Linked DNA regions of Macaca fascicularis. The protein of the gene in region 1 interacts with the protein of each later gene in a pairwise test. Links are inferred from orthologs where the notes say so. Each region holds a gene or a part of one and is shown on either strand. Other genes may lie near its edges.

The links.
Region 2: the proteins of ZNF774 (region 1) and BEGAIN interact in binary tests that used the Homo sapiens proteins (3 or more experiments, as listed by UniProt). The two-hybrid records come from large-scale screens. The link is inferred for Macaca fascicularis from reciprocal best matches to the Homo sapiens genes ZNF774 and BEGAIN.
Region 3: the proteins of ZNF774 (region 1) and GFAP interact in a two-hybrid assay, tested with the Homo sapiens proteins (2 studies listed by BioGRID and IntAct). The link is inferred for Macaca fascicularis from reciprocal best matches to the Homo sapiens genes ZNF774 and GFAP.

What each region holds. Positions count from the first base shown.
Region 1 is NC_088381.1:74,885,823-74,891,196, forward strand, and holds the start of ZNF774 (zinc finger protein 774), read left to right. Parts: upstream 1-2,256; 5' UTR 2,257-2,384; intron 2,385-4,675; 5' UTR 4,676-4,694; coding exon 4,695-4,798; intron 4,799-5,374.
Region 2 is NC_088381.1:168,677,152-168,682,215, reverse strand, and holds the start of BEGAIN (brain-enriched guanylate kinase-associated protein), read left to right. Parts: upstream 1-1,564; 5' UTR 1,565-1,709; coding exon 1,710-1,751; intron 1,752-5,064. UniProt on the Homo sapiens protein: May sustain the structure of the postsynaptic density (PSD).
Region 3 is NC_088390.1:65,968,109-65,973,173, reverse strand, and holds the start of GFAP (glial fibrillary acidic protein), read left to right. Parts: upstream 1-1,565; 5' UTR 1,566-1,579; coding exon 1,580-2,040; intron 2,041-2,986; coding exon 2,987-3,047; intron 3,048-3,251; coding exon 3,252-3,347; intron 3,348-3,817; coding exon 3,818-3,979; intron 3,980-5,065.

The DNA.
Region 1 (5,374 bases):
AGGCTGAGGCAGGAGAATTGCTTGAACCCAGGAGGCGGAGGTTGCAGTGAGCTGCAGTCGTGCCACTGTACTCCAGCCTGGGCAACAGGGCAAGACTCAGTCTCAAAAAATAAAATAAAATAAATAAAACAAAATAAATTCAGTTCTATTAACTGCTGAAGTCTTTCTCTGTTTTCATGCTCCTTGAAGTCCTTTCACAGTTTTTCCTCGCTCCTCTATGCCTCCTCTCGGCCACGCCCTTTAGCACCCAACCCCCAATAGGTCATGATCCTCTCTTCAGGTGGCCATTGCGGGTACACGATTGGTTTCCTGCACTGACTGCTCTTGTCATGAGACCAAACTTCCTTTCCATCACTCCCCACACACCTGATCATTGTGAACAAACCGCTGAGAGAACAAGGTAAGGCAGAAGGAACAGAAGCTGGAGAGAGTGACAGGGATAGCCACCAGCCAGATTCTGTGACTCTTCATTCATCTCCCCACTCCAGTCCCAGATTGAAGAGTAATCTTCATGATCTCCCTGATGGCAAAATGCTAGAAAGACTTACCGAGGGGCCTGAAGATGCCTTCAGTTCTCCAGGTCCTGAACTCTGTTCCAGTTACAGAAGGCCTGGCAATCCCTAGGTTTCCTGGGCATTCCTTTGTTACTGAGCTCCTCTGGGATTTCCATTTTCCTCATTTTCATCTGACTAAATCTAACTACATCTAACTACCTCTGCTAACCAGATATTTGTTCACAGTCGACAGAGTTTCTGAAAATGCAATGTAATTATCTTGCAGATGACTACAATTGTAGCAAAATAACTAAGATACAACTGGCTATATGAAAAAAAAAAAGACAAAATATTACTTAGGATTTTCATACCTTTTATGGTTTATCTCCCCTTTTGGCCTGTAAACTTCATGAAGGTAATGGTTATGTATGATTCCCGAGTAACCACAGTTCCCAGAACGATCTTGAGTATAGAATGTTCCCAATAAATATCCACTGGAAAATGCACACTATTTTTGTTGAAGGAATGGTGGAATTAGCATCAAAGGGATCTTCAACATTAACTCTATGGCTAGCAATTCTTTGTTTTTTTTTTTTTTTTTTTTTTTTTTTTTTGAGACGGAGTCTTGCTCTGTCGCCCAGGCTGGAGTGCAGTGGCCAGATCTCAGCTCACTGCAAGCTCCGCCTCCCGGGTTTACGCCATTCTCCTGCCTCAGCCTCCGGAGTAGCTGGGACTACAGGCGCCCGCCACCTCGCCCGGCTCGTTTTTCGTATTTTTTAGTAGAGACAGGGTTTCACTGTGTTAGCCAGGATGGTCTCGATCTCCTGACCTCGTGATCCGCCCGTCTCGGCCTCCCAAAGTGCTAGGATTACAGGCTTGAGCCACCGCGCCCGGCCTATGGCTAGCAATTCTAAGCGTTTTATAGTACATCACAAAATGTTCTTTCTTTTTCTAAATTGCACTGAATCAACAAACGGAGTAGACAGGCACATTTTCTTCACTTTAAGGAAAGACATTATTTTTTAGCTAGGGGCCGACCCAAAGTGACCACTGGCTTTCACATGAGACCCAGGAGCCTCCCCAGTTTGAAGCCCAATATCACATTTCCCAGAATACTTGATGCCCTCGCCCGCCTCCTCTGGCTATCAACCAGACGGAAAGGGGATGCGCCTGGGAGTTTGATGCCAAGGGAAGGATACGGAATGTCTGTTTTCTCCTAAGGGCGTCTGCTGGGCCTTTCTTATGTCCAGTTTGAGTTGGTCTGGGACCCGGCCTCCGCAAACACTCTGCAGGCTCCGGCCGCCGGGTGTGAGGTGGAAGACTGGGCAGAAGAGAGGCTGCAAAGGCCAGAGGGCTGAGCTGCTCTGCGCTGGGGAGGGGCGAGGTGCCAGAGCGCGGGAGACCTCACGTTGGGCACCAGGCTGCTCCGCGGTAGGTGGGTGAGGCCAGGAGATTCACATCAGCAGATGCCACACTGAGGGTACGGCATTTAGATCCCTAGGCTCCAAACAGGCGGTTCCTGGGGGCCGGTAGCTGGGGAATTGGGTTTAGCACTTTTCAACGCTTGGAACTGGATATGCAAGGCTCCGAGTCCTTTGAGGTCTTGCTCGGGACTACGTTTCCCAGAAGGCTAGGCGGTAATTGATAGCTCTGTCAGCCTATGGACAGAGAAACATTCTAGCCATGGAAACTAAAAAGCCAATAGCAAGAGGACAGGGGCGGTACTTTCCGGCTGCGAGCTGTCGAAGCCTGAGTCCCACCTGTGTCCCCACAGCCCTGTCACGAATCCCGGTCGGGTTCTGGGAGGGACCGCCTCGGGGTTGCGGGCCGGGTGCGGCTCGGCGGTGGAGGACTCACTTCCTGCTCCATCCCCAGCTGGGCCCTGGGGCGGTGAGTGATCCAAGGAGGGAGACTGCGGCGGCAGCGGCGCGCTGCTGAGAGGCGTGGAGGGGGCTCGCCCGCCACCCAGACGTTTTCTCAGAGGGGTTCCCACGCTGGCCTTTGGGAGCCCCCGGGTCTTGCTGGGGTGTGGGAGAGGTAGCTGTGGTCTCTATACCGTCGTCGAGATAAGTCATTCTCTTAATCAGTTTTCTTGCTTCTTGATGGTGGTCCCCGGGTTTCAGCTGATCTGCCACCCTCTGACCGCCGCACCCTGGTTAGGGCCCCAGCACCGAGAAGAAGAACGGGGTTCAGCCCCACGCGTGCAGTCATGTTCCTATTAATAAACCCGGTGAACGCACTGGAGATTCTCACAATGGCACTTAGTCACAGCCCCTCAGAGCTGTAGGGCCTTTGAGGTCATCTGCGCATGGGGAAAGGGACGGGCTGGGAAACAGGGTTTCTATAACCGTGGCTAAGAAGTCTCCAGCAAGGGGGCCCTGCAGCTGTGTTTTGTAATGAATGTAGAAATAAAAATTATACTAAAAGCTCTTTTTTTTTTTTTTTCCTTTTTCTTCTTCTACTTCTTTTTTTTTTTTTTTTTTTTTTTTTTTAGAGGGGATTTCGCTCTTGTTGCCCAGGCTGGAATGCAACGGTGCTATCTCCGTTCACTGTAGTCTTTGCCTCCCGGGTTCAAGCGATTCTCCTGCCGCAGCCTCCCGAGTAGTTGGGATTACAGGTGTGCGCCACCACACCCGGCTAATTTTGTATTCTTAGTAGAGACAGGGTTTCACCATGTTGGCCAGGTTGATCTCGAACTCCTGACCCCAGGTGATCTGCCCATCTCGTTCTCCCAAAGTGCTGGGATTACAGTCATGAGCCACAGCGCCCGACCAATACTGAAAACTGTTATTACCATTTTTACTTTCTAATTACATTATTGTTGTTTGTTAAAGTTTTAAACCAGAGCAATGGTTTTTAGATCCTTAAAAACTCAATACTTTATAAATGACCAATAATAATGTCTGTAAATACATAAATATTTCCCCCAAAAGTGTGTCTGTGTGTGTGTGTGTGTGTGTGTGTGTGTGTGTCTGTGTCTGTATCTGTGTTCCAGTAGTAAATAGGTGCTTTGTAGTGGGACAAAAGATGTGAAAGAGTAAAACTTCTTCACCCTAGTCTGGTCCTTCCTCCCGTGAAATGCAATATTCTTTGTAGTGGGTGGTCATGCTGGCTGAATTTTTTTTTTTTTTTTTAAGGGAGAGACAGGGGCTCACTCTGTTGCTAGGCTGGAGTGCATGGAGTGCAGTGGCGCCATCATAGCTCACTGCAGCCTTGAACTCCTGGGCTGAAGTGATCCTCCCACCTCAGCCTCCTGAGTAGCTGGGACCACAAGTGCATGCCACCATGCCTGGCTGATTTTTAAAAGTTCTTTGTAGAGAAAGGGGTCTCAATATGTTGCTGAGGCTGGTGTATTGGAAAGTTTTTAAGGGAAAAAACATTATCTTAATTTCTTTGTGACTCCTATGCCTGGCAACATATTGATTGTTGAATAAATTACTGATCCATCCAGTAGTTGACTCTGACTATCCTCCAAAAAGTAATGTTTTTCATGATATTGCTGTCAATTTATTAATATATTAATGATTGGTTTCAGCCTCTAAGAGTTGTGTTTTGTGCTTATCCCCATTGACTTTCACTTATTTTTACAACTTATCCATGTCTTTTTTTAAAAAAAAAAAACACATGTCTTTTTCAGTCTTATTTCTGACTCCATTAAGATCTTGAAATAGAGTGGTATCCAACACAGTTCTCTTTGGGGTTCTGCATAATCTGTCCCTTGAGGTTGACCCCAAATCTGCAAGCCAAGAAGTCAGCTGTTCTCATAACTAATATGAGTATAGTTAAGTCCACAATTTCCTTGGTTGCTGAGGAAAATGAAGTTGGGGAGAATCAAAAGCTTTCCAGAAATCAAATTGTACCTACCAACTCTCTCCTTTGTTTACCTTGTTCATCGTGGACAATTTTTTCCTCAAAAAGTTAATGTATCTAAAAGACTGGGTTCTGTCCATGTGTTTGGGAGGCCTAGGCCTCTCTTAGTAATGGGAAAGTTGGCCAGGAGAAGATGTATGTAAAAACAGACTAAGAAAAGCAACCCTCTGTGGTTGACAGAATTTACCTCAGGACCATTCTGATCAGGTGTGGGGGGTTGTTTGTGTACACTGATGGCCATTTTTTGGCTTTCAGACAATGGTGAGAATACCTAGGGAGCTACTGATGCATATCGAGGTCTCTTGCTTTAGGAACTGATGACCCTTGATAATGTGGCTGAGGACTTCAGGGAAGAGTGGGTTACCTGGACACTGCTTAGAGAATCCTCTTCAGGAATGCCACCCAGCACAGTTAGAAGAATGGGCTATCAAAGGGTAAGAATGCTACTCTCCTTTATTTTATTTATTTATCTTGTTTTTTTGAGATGGGGTCTCGCTCTGTCATCCAGGCTGGAGTGCAGTGGCGTGATCTCGATTCACTGCAACCCTTGCCTCCTGGGCTCAAGCAATTCTCCCACCTCAACCTCCTGAGTAGCTGGGATCACAGGCATGTGCCACCATGCCCAGCTAGTTTTTGGTGTTTTTAGTAGAGACAGGATTTTGCTATGTTGGCCAGGCTGGTCTCAAACTCCTGAGCTCAAGCAATCCACTGCTTCCACCTTCCAAAGTGCTGGGATTATGGGTGCCACCATGCCTGGCCACTACTCTCCTTTAATTTGAGACTTAGATAAAGGGCCCAGGTCTGAGTAGTCTCTGGTATGTTGGTGTCTTAGAGCTCCAGACCTCTGTAAGATTAATTGTTGCCTCCTTGGCAGAAAAAGAATTACGTCTTTATGCATTTTATGGTTTGTAAATATCTTTGCTATTTATTGTCTTTTTAATATCTCATCATAACTTTTTGATATATGTATTACTGTCCCCCTTTTCCAGCCTGGGTTGAACTCTCACCTC
Region 2 (5,064 bases), about 94 Mb from region 1:
AGGCTGGTCCGGGGGTGCACACCAGGGACTGGGTTTGGAAGAAGTCTGTTCACGCTTCGAAGGACGGGGAGAGCCCAGTCCTGAGCTGCTACCTCTCATTTTGTCTTGACTGTGGCCGCGTGCACTTGGAGGCACCTCCCTCTGTCCATTGGTTACCCAATCATGTCCCTGGGACCTGAGAGTGAGCAGAGACCGGACCTGAGAGTGAGCAGAGACCGGACCTGAGAGTGAGCAGAGACAGGACTTTGCTTGACACTAAATGGCTCCAGTCAGCTGCTGGTTCTTTTTCTTGTCTCCTTTTTATCTGGGTTTTCCCTCTTGCCTTGCTATCAGCGCCTTTTTTCAGCACTGACACTGCCTGAATGTAGCAACCTACTCCCCAGATTAAATGAGAGAGTGTAGAAACTGCAAAGCATACAACATACAGCATATAAGGATGGTGGTGATGGTAGCACAACAGTGGGAATTCAATGTCCCCAAACTGTACACTTTAAAAGTGGTTCAAATGGTAAATGTTATGTTTTCCATGTTTTCTGCAATTAAAAAACAAAAATGTACAAGGTACTCATTGGCAGCATCTTCTAATCTGCCATGTACTTGGAAATGATATAAGCATGTGTGAACCATGAGCCCATAGGTCCAGACAGAGGATATGAGCAAAGCACACGGGCTTTGTCAGCTCTGTTTCCACCATGCAGGACCCTCCCCGGCTGCCAGTGCTCCTCCCGGGGTTCCCACGCTGGCTGCTGCTGGCCTGGCTGGGATGGAAGACCCTCATGTAGCTGGCACCCTCAGGGCTGCCCCTTGCCCGCTCTGGGAGGAAAGCGGAGGATTCACACTGTACCTTTACCAGGGCGGGACTGAGCCAGCCTGGGCTCTACCCGGGCAGGTCGGTGGGATGCTTCAGACTAGGGGGAGAGGCAGGGGGCAACACTGGTCCTCCTGAAGCCACCTTTCCTTCCTGAGAGCTCCCTGGGGAGAAAGAAGGCCCTGAGAGCCACCGACTGGGGGCTGGGGCAGAGCAGGGGCAGCTTGGCCAGGCGGCACCCTTGGGAACCAGGGTTTCCTCATCTGTAAAATGTGACTCTGCGAGGGCAGGAGCTTGGTTTCTCTGGCTGCTGTACCCCCTGGGGCCTAGAACGAGGCTGGTTGGTACACAGAAGGCGTCTAATAAATGTTGAGGGATTGAATGGATGGACCGATGAAAAGGTTGGGCAGGTTGTTACTGACGGCCTCTGGGTTTCAAGGGCCCATTCACTCTGTCACTCACCTTCGCGCCCGTGCATTAGTTCCCTCATTTATTCATTCCTCCCGCAGGCTCTACCGCACTCATTCATTCATGCACTCTGCCATTCATGCACGCGCGGGTTCATTCATTCCCTGCCCCTCTGCCATTCCTCGCCCGCCCCCCGCGCACGCCGCACCCCCGCGCCCCTGCCCGGCCCTGCGCCCACCACGTGCGCCCCGGCCGAGCGCTGCGGGGGGGAAGTGCGGGCTCAGCCGCGGCTGCGCGGGGCCGGGGCTGGCGGGGAGCCGGGCTGGGGGCGGGGGGCGGGCGCTCCCTGCGGGAAGCCGGGCGGGGTGGGGGAGCCCCGGCCGCGCCGGCTCCCGGCGCGCTCGGCCTCGGAGGGGAGGGGGCGGCGGTAGCGGCGGCGGCGGCGGGACCCGAGCGCGGCGGCGGCGGTGAGCGGCGCGGCTGCCCCGGGGCCATGTGGACAGGCGGTCGCCGGCCGGGCCGGCTGCGCCGGGCGGTGAGTACCTGCGAGCCGGGAGGGCAGGGCGCGGGCGCGGGCGCGGAGGCGGGGCGGGCGCCACCCACGCCTGGGGCGGTCCCTGCTCGGCGCCGGAGGTGGCCGGCTCCCCGCCCTGCTCCCCTCCGCGCGGCGCCCCCGCCGTGGCGGCTTCACTGGCCCGGGAGGAGCCGGGCCGGGTCTCCTGGGAACTGGGCACTCTCGGGTGGGGCGGGGATGCCCGGCCTCCGCGCGCCGCCGCGAGCGCCCGGGTCCGATCGCGGGGTCCTTGCGCCCTGACACGCGCGCCCCTGCGGCGGGAGGAAGGGAGGGGCTGGGGACCCAGGGCGCGGCTGGAGGACTGGGGACGCGCCGCTGTCCCAGGCGGGTGGCGAGGGTGCGGGCAGGCCTGGACCCGCCTGCGTCAGGGGGCAGGGCCAGCCCCTGCTCGGGAGGCCGGAGAAAGGCCCGGGAGCCGGAAGGAGGCTGGACCCGGGGCCGCCTCATTGAGCGTTTGCAGCGCGTGGGCGCGCACGAGCCTCGGACACCACCATCCCATTCAGTGCCTCGCGGCAGGTACTATCCTCCTGCCCCTTTACAGGCGAGGAAACTGAGGCTCAGGGAGGCCAGGGCCTCGCCCAGAGCGGCTCAGCCAGCGCGCTCACCCTCCCTGAGCCCCAGCACGTTGGATGGGAATTTCTGCCCCAGCGTTTCCGCTTCCTGCTTGGTTTAGAGGTGTTTCCTTCCTCATCTGTGCCCCACCCCATCCCCAATGTGGTTTCCTCAGGGCAGGAACAGCGTGGGCGACACGCTGGAGTCTCCTGAGCAGGCAGAATGGGAGCAGAGTGGGCACCCGGGAGCGGGCCGGATGGGTAGGGAGCATTGCACGTGCAGAGTCCGCATGGCCAAGGTCGGGCCAGTGCAGATTGGGGGTCCAGTCCTGGGGGTATGGGTGGGGCGGGGTCTCCACGGCCACGCTCCGTCGGAGGCCCCAGTGCTCTGGCTCTCTGGAGGCCATGGACAGGTCCTTTTCCTTCTCTGGGCCCCAGTTCCTCTGCCTGTCAAGAGCCGCAGCGACCCCCACCACTCCCAGGGCCAGGCTCCCACGAGGACTGTGGGCAAAAGCCCCTAACAAACTGTGGTGTGCAGCCCTGCCAGGCTGGGCTTGGTCTTGCCAACCGAGGCAAGTGGCCGTTGGGGGTGGCTCTGCCTGGCATCTGTGACACGAAGGGCGGGGAGACGGCAACAAGGGCCCCAGCAGCATCCTGCAAACCCTTAATTTTCCCGACTCTCACTATAATCAGGGCGGCTTGGAAAAGCAAGCACCGTGGCAGATGCGGCTCTGCCTGGGCTCGGAACGCGGGCTCGGGGCGATGGGCGGCTGCGCTGCTGCCCAGGGCCCTCCCCAGCTTTTGTCTCATATTTATAGATTCCTACGCTCCGCGTTCCGTTTGTCGTCAAAACCTGGAACTGTTCGCACCTGGGAGCTGAGTGGGGAGGAGGGCTGCCTAGGACCTCAGCTTGGAGGATGAGTTTTCCATGGGCTGGAGTGGAGTGGGGGGACACCTGTCAGATCCCAGGGCCGGGGAGAGGAAATGAGCCCTAAGCAATCTGGATGATCTTCCATCCACTCTCCCAAGACTAGGGCACAGGGTCTGGCCCACATAGCTGCCATTTATGGAACGCCTGCTATGTGCTGGGCCCTGGATCAGCATTTCCACGCATCATCTCCACGGCAACACTTTGAAGGAGCTTCCCTACTCCTGCAGGCACTCCTGATGTTGAAGAGTGGATGGATGGATAGACGGATGGATGGATGGATGGATGGATGGATGGATGGAAGGGATGGATGAATGGTTGGATGAGAGGGAGGGAGGGAGGGATGGATGGATGGATGGATGGGAGAGAGGGATGGATGGATGGATGGATGGATGGATGGATGGATGGATGGTTGGATGAGAGGGAGGGAGGGAGGGATGGATGGATGGATGGGAGAGAGGGATGGATGGATGGGTGGATGGATGGATGAGAGAGAGGGAGGGATGGATGGGAGGGAGGGATGGATGGATGGAAGGGAGGGATGGATGGATGGATGGATGGATGGGAGGGAGGGATGGATGGATGGATGGATGGAAGGGAGGGATGGGAGGGACTGGCTGCAGCCCATGAGTCCATGACTATTGAACATAGTCCACAAATCATTACCCAGGGTCAGAGGAGGTGGGGCCCAAGGGCTGAGTAGTTGCTGAACAGATGAAGGGGTCAAGGCGTGTTACCAGAGCTTGGCCCAAGGCCTGAAAGTGATGGGGAGAGTGTAGAGTGTTCAAGTCTCAAGACTTAGAGAGGCTGTGCCCTGCTGGAGTGTGGAGGCCATGGTGGTGGGGAGGTGTGGCTGCTCCCCCTAAGGGAGGTAAGGATCCCTGGGACAGATCGGAAGGTGACCCTAGGACTTGCCATGTTGGTCTAGAATCACCCCGCAGGGTTCTCTCCTGGCTCCCCCTCCTGCCGAGAGCTGGTCACTAGCCTTAGTGGAGAGTCCTGGACGGAGGTCTGCAGCCCTGGGTTCTGGTTCTTCCTCTGCCGCTGACTCACCGTCTCCTCTCTAGGGCTCCGTATCAGAATCTTAACACCCATTACAGTCAGGGGAGTGACTACTGTGTCCTAAGAGCGGCACCAGATTGTGGCCTGTGGTGGGAGAAGCTGGCCAGAGGTGTCTCTATTGCTTTAATCATTATAGGAGTGAATGAATGATGAATAAGTGGATGAATTCTACACTCACCTAACATGCTGTCCCTAAGCACCCACTCTTCCCTCCTCATTGGGGTCGCTTAGGTGAGTCTGACACAGACCTTGCCCTCCATGAGTCCACAGTCTGCTGGGAGATGGACCCTGGCCAGTGTGGCAGGAGTCAGGAGATGCTGGGGCTCTTCTCTCCCCTCTAGCTAGGAAGGGAATTCAAAAGTGGCCCTTGCCTCAGCAGGCCATGAGTCTGTAGGACAGTACAACAGCCTCTGGGGTCTGCCTGGGGTGGGGATCAGCCAGGGCCCAGCTCTGAGCCATGTGGGGGAATTGTAATTGTTGGTTCAATCGGCAATCCCTGAACCCAAGTCAGGGATGGAGATGAGTCAGGCCTGGGCTTTGCCTGGGGAAGCCAGACATGGAAACCCGGTCATCCCGCAGCGGGTGCATGCTGGGATTAAGAGGTGTATGAGGTGGAGAAGCAACGCGGACATAATGAAGGGGACGCATAGGTGGATGATGCTGTATGGAAGGGAAGCACTAGCAGGATAGAGCAGCGGATGGATGGGTAGAAAGCTAGAGGGATAGGCCAGGT
Region 3 (5,065 bases), on another chromosome or scaffold:
ACCTTGGCACAGACACAATGGTCAGAGTGGGCACACTGCCTGCTTCCCGCCGCACCCCAGTCCCCCTCAAATGCCTTCCGAGAAGCCCATTGAGCAGGGGGCTTGCATTGCACCCCAGCCTGACAGCCTGGCATCTTGGGATAAAAGCAGCACAGCCCCCTAGGGGCTGCCCTTGCTGTGTGGCGCCACTGGCGGTGGAGAACAAGGCTCTATTCAGCAAGTGCCCGGGAAAGGGGATCAGGGGAGGCCCAGGCATGGACAGTGGGTGGCAGGCGGGAAGAGGAGGGCTGTCTGCTTCCCAGAAGTCCAAGTACACAAATGGGTGAGGGGACTGGGCAGGGTTCTGACCCTGTGGGACCAGAGTGGAGGGCGTAGATGGACCTGAAGTCTCCAGGGACAACAGGGCCCAGGTCTCAGGCTCCCAGTTGGGCCCAATGGCTCCTGCGTTTCCAAACCTATCCATCCCCAGAGGTCCTTCCCATCTCCCCAGGCTGATGTGTGGGAACTCGAGGAAATAAATCTCCAGTGGGAGACGGAGGGATAAAGACTCAAGCCAGCACAGCCAGCTCACGCGTAACTGCTTTGTGGAGCTGTCAAGGCCTGGGCTCTGGGAAAGAGGCACAGGGAGGCCAGGCAAGGAAGGAGTGACCCGGAGGGACAGACCCAGGGGCTAAAGTCCTGATAGGGCAAGAGAGTGCCAGCCCCCTCTTGCTCTATAAGGACCTCCACTGCCACATACAGGCCATGATTGATGCTTAGACAAAGGGCTGGTGTCCAATCCCAGCCCCCAGCCCCAGAACTCCAGGGAATGAATGGGCAGAGAGCAGGAATATGGGACATCTGTGTTCGAGGGGAGGACTCCAGGAGTCCTGGGAATGGGGCCTAGTAGGAAATGATGATATAGGCACCCCTTGAGGGTACTGAACAGGTTTGTTCTTCGCCAAATTCCCAGCACCTTGCAGGTACTTACAGCTGAGTGAGAGAAGGCCTGGGTTATGAAATCAAAAAGTTGGAAAGCAGGTCAGAGGTCATCTGGTACAGCCCTTCCTTCCTTTTTTTTCTTTCTTTCCTCTTGAGACAGGGTCTCTCTCTGTTGCCCAGGCTGGAGTGGCGCAAACACAGCTCACTGCAGCCTCAACCTACTGGGCTCAAGCAATCCTCCAGCCTCAGCCTCCCAAAGTGCTTGGATTACAAGCATGAGCCACCCCACCCAGCCCTTTTCTTCCTTTTTAATTGATGCATAACGATTGTAAGTATTCATCACGGTCCAACCAACCCCTTCTTGACCCACCTTCCTAGAGAGAGGGTCCTCTTGCTTCAATGGTCACGGCCCCAGACCCATGGTCTGGCTCCAGGCACCACCTGCCTCATGCAGGAGCTGGCGTGCCCAGGAAGCTCTGCCTCTGGGCACAGTTACCTCAATGGGGTGAGTGGAGCTCTCCCCATAGCTGGGCTGCGGCCCAACCCCACCCCCTCAGGCTATGCCAGGGGGCGTTGCCAGGGGCAGCCGGGCATCACCAGTCCAGCCCACTCCTTCATAAAGCCCTCGCATCCCAGGAGCGAGCAGAGCCAGGGTAGGATGGAGAGGAGACGCATCACCTCCGCTGCTCGCCGCTCCTACGTCTCTTCGGGGGAGATGATGGTGGGGGGCCTGGCTCCTGGCCGCCGTCTGGGTCCTGGCACCCGCCTCTCCCTGGCTCGAATGCCCCCTCCACTCCCGACCCGGGTGGACTTCTCCCTGGCCGGAGCACTCAATGCTGGCTTCAAGGAGACCCGGGCCAGTGAGCGGGCAGAGATGATGGAGCTCAATGACCGCTTTGCCAGCTACATCGAGAAGGTTCGCTTCCTGGAACAGCAAAACAAGGCGCTGGCTGCTGAGCTGAACCAGCTGCGGGCCAAGGAGCCCACCAAGCTGGCCGACGTCTACCAGGCTGAGCTGCGAGAGCTGCGACTGCGGCTCGATCAACTCACCGCCAACAGTGCCCGGCTGGAGGTCGAGAGGGACAATCTGGCACAGGACCTGGGCACCGTGAGGCAGAAGTGAGGAGGGGATGGGGAAAGGGGGCCTTGTGAGCAGAGGGGGCTGAACCCCCGAGAGAGAGTGCCCGAGAAGTCTCAGGCAAGGGCTGAGCCTCCCTGCTCCCTGGGTCTCCCTACCTCTTGATGGGGCACTATCCTTGCACCCCAACATGATGGCAGGGACCAGAAACAGGCCCAGGACCCCAGGGATCTGATTCCCACATGCCTTCTGCCAGGGAGCCAGGGTCCCCTCAGCACCTCCCCACTGGGGAAAGCAGTGCAGGAGCGGCTGGGCCCCCAGCAGCTGGGCCCTTGCGTTTCATTCATGGCTGGGCTTTGTGACTGTGGGCAGTGAGCTCACCTATTGTGAGCCTGGGTCCATATAAAGGAGGAGTTGGAAGCAGAGAAGGTTGGTGTCCATGAGGGAGATTGGATTCTGGGGTAAAGGAAGTGAGGGAAAGAGCAGGCAAGCCTGGGTGCAGCGCACAGGTGACTGCCTGCCACCAGCTTGTGACCTCCGTCAAGTCACTTTGACTTGCACAGCTGTGAAGCGGAGCTCATAATAAAATTCATTTCAAAAGGTGGTTACCTGGGATCAGAGGAATCCCCAGGGGATGGCGCTTCGCTGAGCTGACAGGACATGCGTGTGTGCCTTCAAGTGCAGGAGGACGTGTGTGTGTGTGTGCGCGCGCAGCAGTGTGTGTACGCTGGTGCATGCGCCTGTGTGAGGAGAAGCAGGTGCGCCAACCCTGATAAGGCACCTTAGTAATGAGTTAAGGCAAAAGCCCACATCTGCTCATCCTCCAGACAAGACCTCTGTCTAAGGCCCCCCAACCCTTACTCCTCCTGCTGCTCTACTGGTCCTGGGTGGGGGTGGTCTCTGTGACAGCTGCCTCCAGGGAGATTGAGGCAGGTAGCCAATGTCCTCAGAAGAGCCTGGACCCAGGAATGTGTCCCCCCACTCCAGGCTCCAGGATGAAACCAACCTGAGGCTGGAAGCCGAGAACAACCTGGCTGCCTATAGACAGGTCAGGGAGGTGGAGGGGAGGGGCAGGGGAGGGAGGCAAGGGTTCATGGCCACTCACCCAAACACAGCCCCCAAGCTCAGCCCTCCAGAGCAATGTGCTGCTCCCCACTGACCCAGAAGGAGGGGTAAGGGAAGGCTGAGCAATGGGGAGGAGGAGCCTGGGGCCCGAGTGGCCCTCTACTCCTTACCCCTCCTGCCACTCCAGGAAGCAGATGAAGCCACCCTGGCCCGTCTGGATCTGGAGAGGAAGATTGAGTCACTGGAGGAGGAGATCCGGTTCTTGAGGAAGATCCACGAGGAGGTGAGGCCAGGGCAGAGGAAGAAAAGCTCAACACAGAGACTGCAACTGAGAGAGGGAGGGACAGAGACAGAGGCTGTCCTGTGTCCAAGGCTTAACAGGCTTACTCCCCATCCTCCCAGTCAAGACTGGACTCCTCACCTTCCCCATCTCTTCTGCCTCCTTGGAACTTTTGTCACCACTTTGCCCTCCCTCTTCCATCTGCCTTCAGATAGGCATGCGCCCCTCCCAGATAACACTCAAGCCCCTTGCAGTCTCTGAGAGACACACTCAGAGAGAGGAGAGGAACAGAGATTGGCAGGTAGAGACAGGAAATGAAAGACACAGAGAAAGGCAGTAAGGGAGACAGAAAGAGATGAGAGAACATTCTAGCCCCTGGCCGAAGGGCAGGAAGAAGGGGACACGATGCTGTGAGGAACTGCAGCTGTGGCCTGTACCCTGAGGCCTGGTACCCCTTCTCTCACCCTGGCCAGGAGGTTCGGGAACTCCAGGAGCAGCTGGCCCGACAGCAGGTCCATGTGGAGCTGGACGTGGCCAAGCCAGACCTCACCGCAGCCCTGAAAGAGATCCGCACGCAGTATGAGGCAATGGCGTCCAGCAACATGCATGAAGCTGAGGAGTGGTACCGTTCCAAGGTAGCCCTGCCTGTGGGCCAGCCTGCCTCCTCTAGGCAGCCCTTCTTGCTCCATACAAGAGAATGGGGGAAGGAGGGTGGAAGAAGCTGGGAGAATATCCTCTCCAGGTGACTGACCTTCACCAGAGAAGTGAGATGACTTGCCCAGGGCCACACAGGCACTACTGCTTTCAAAAGTGCCCGTTATTATTACTGCTACTATTGCTATTATTAGTAGTAGCTGATACTGTTCTGTGCTAAGCTCTGTGCTTTTCATGCATTACCTCACTATGAAGTAGGTGCTGTTCTTTGACAGATGAGAGAGCTGAAGTCCAGAGAGGTTAACTAATTTGCTCAAAGTCACACAGCTCCTAAGTGGTAGAGTTGGATTTCCAACTCTAGCCCATCTCACTTGGGAGCCTGCATTCCATGCCTCTGCCAGTCTGTTTTGGGTTACTGAGCCTCTACCGTATGCCAGGCACCCCCTCAGGACACAGAGAGGTGTCTGAGCTGGAAGGTGTGATGTTGACGTGCACCCAAACATAGTGCCGGTAGAGAACACCACAGCTCGGAGCTTATATGTAGTGTGGGAGCCAGGTAAGACGCTGTAGGTGGGGCATTTGGGCTAGGCAGGACAGGCAGGCTGTGGACAGGAAGAGAAGAAGGGAGGGCCATTTCTGGTGGAGGACAGAGCCTGGAGTCAGAAAAGCACAGAGAGGCAGAGCCCGAAGATGCTGGCCTAGCCAGCGCACCTAGCTGAGGAGTGTAAGTAGTAGAAACCACTGGCGTCTGAGCAGGGTGAAGGCCCAATGGAGCTGGGAGGACCTCCCTGCAGTGGGGGGAGAAAGGGCTATTAGAACCCAGGGTGAGGCCAGGCATGGTGGCTCACACCTGTAATCCCAGCACTTTGGGAGGCCAAGGCAGGCGGATCACCTGAGGTCAGCAGTTCAAGACTAGCCTGGCTGATATGGTGAAACCCTGTCTCTACTAAAAATACAAAAATTAGCCGGGCGCGGTGGCGGGCGCCTGTAGTCCCAGCCACACGGGAGGCTGAGGCAGGAGAATGGCGTGAACTCGGGAGGCGGAGCTGTGAGTGGAGTGAGTGGAG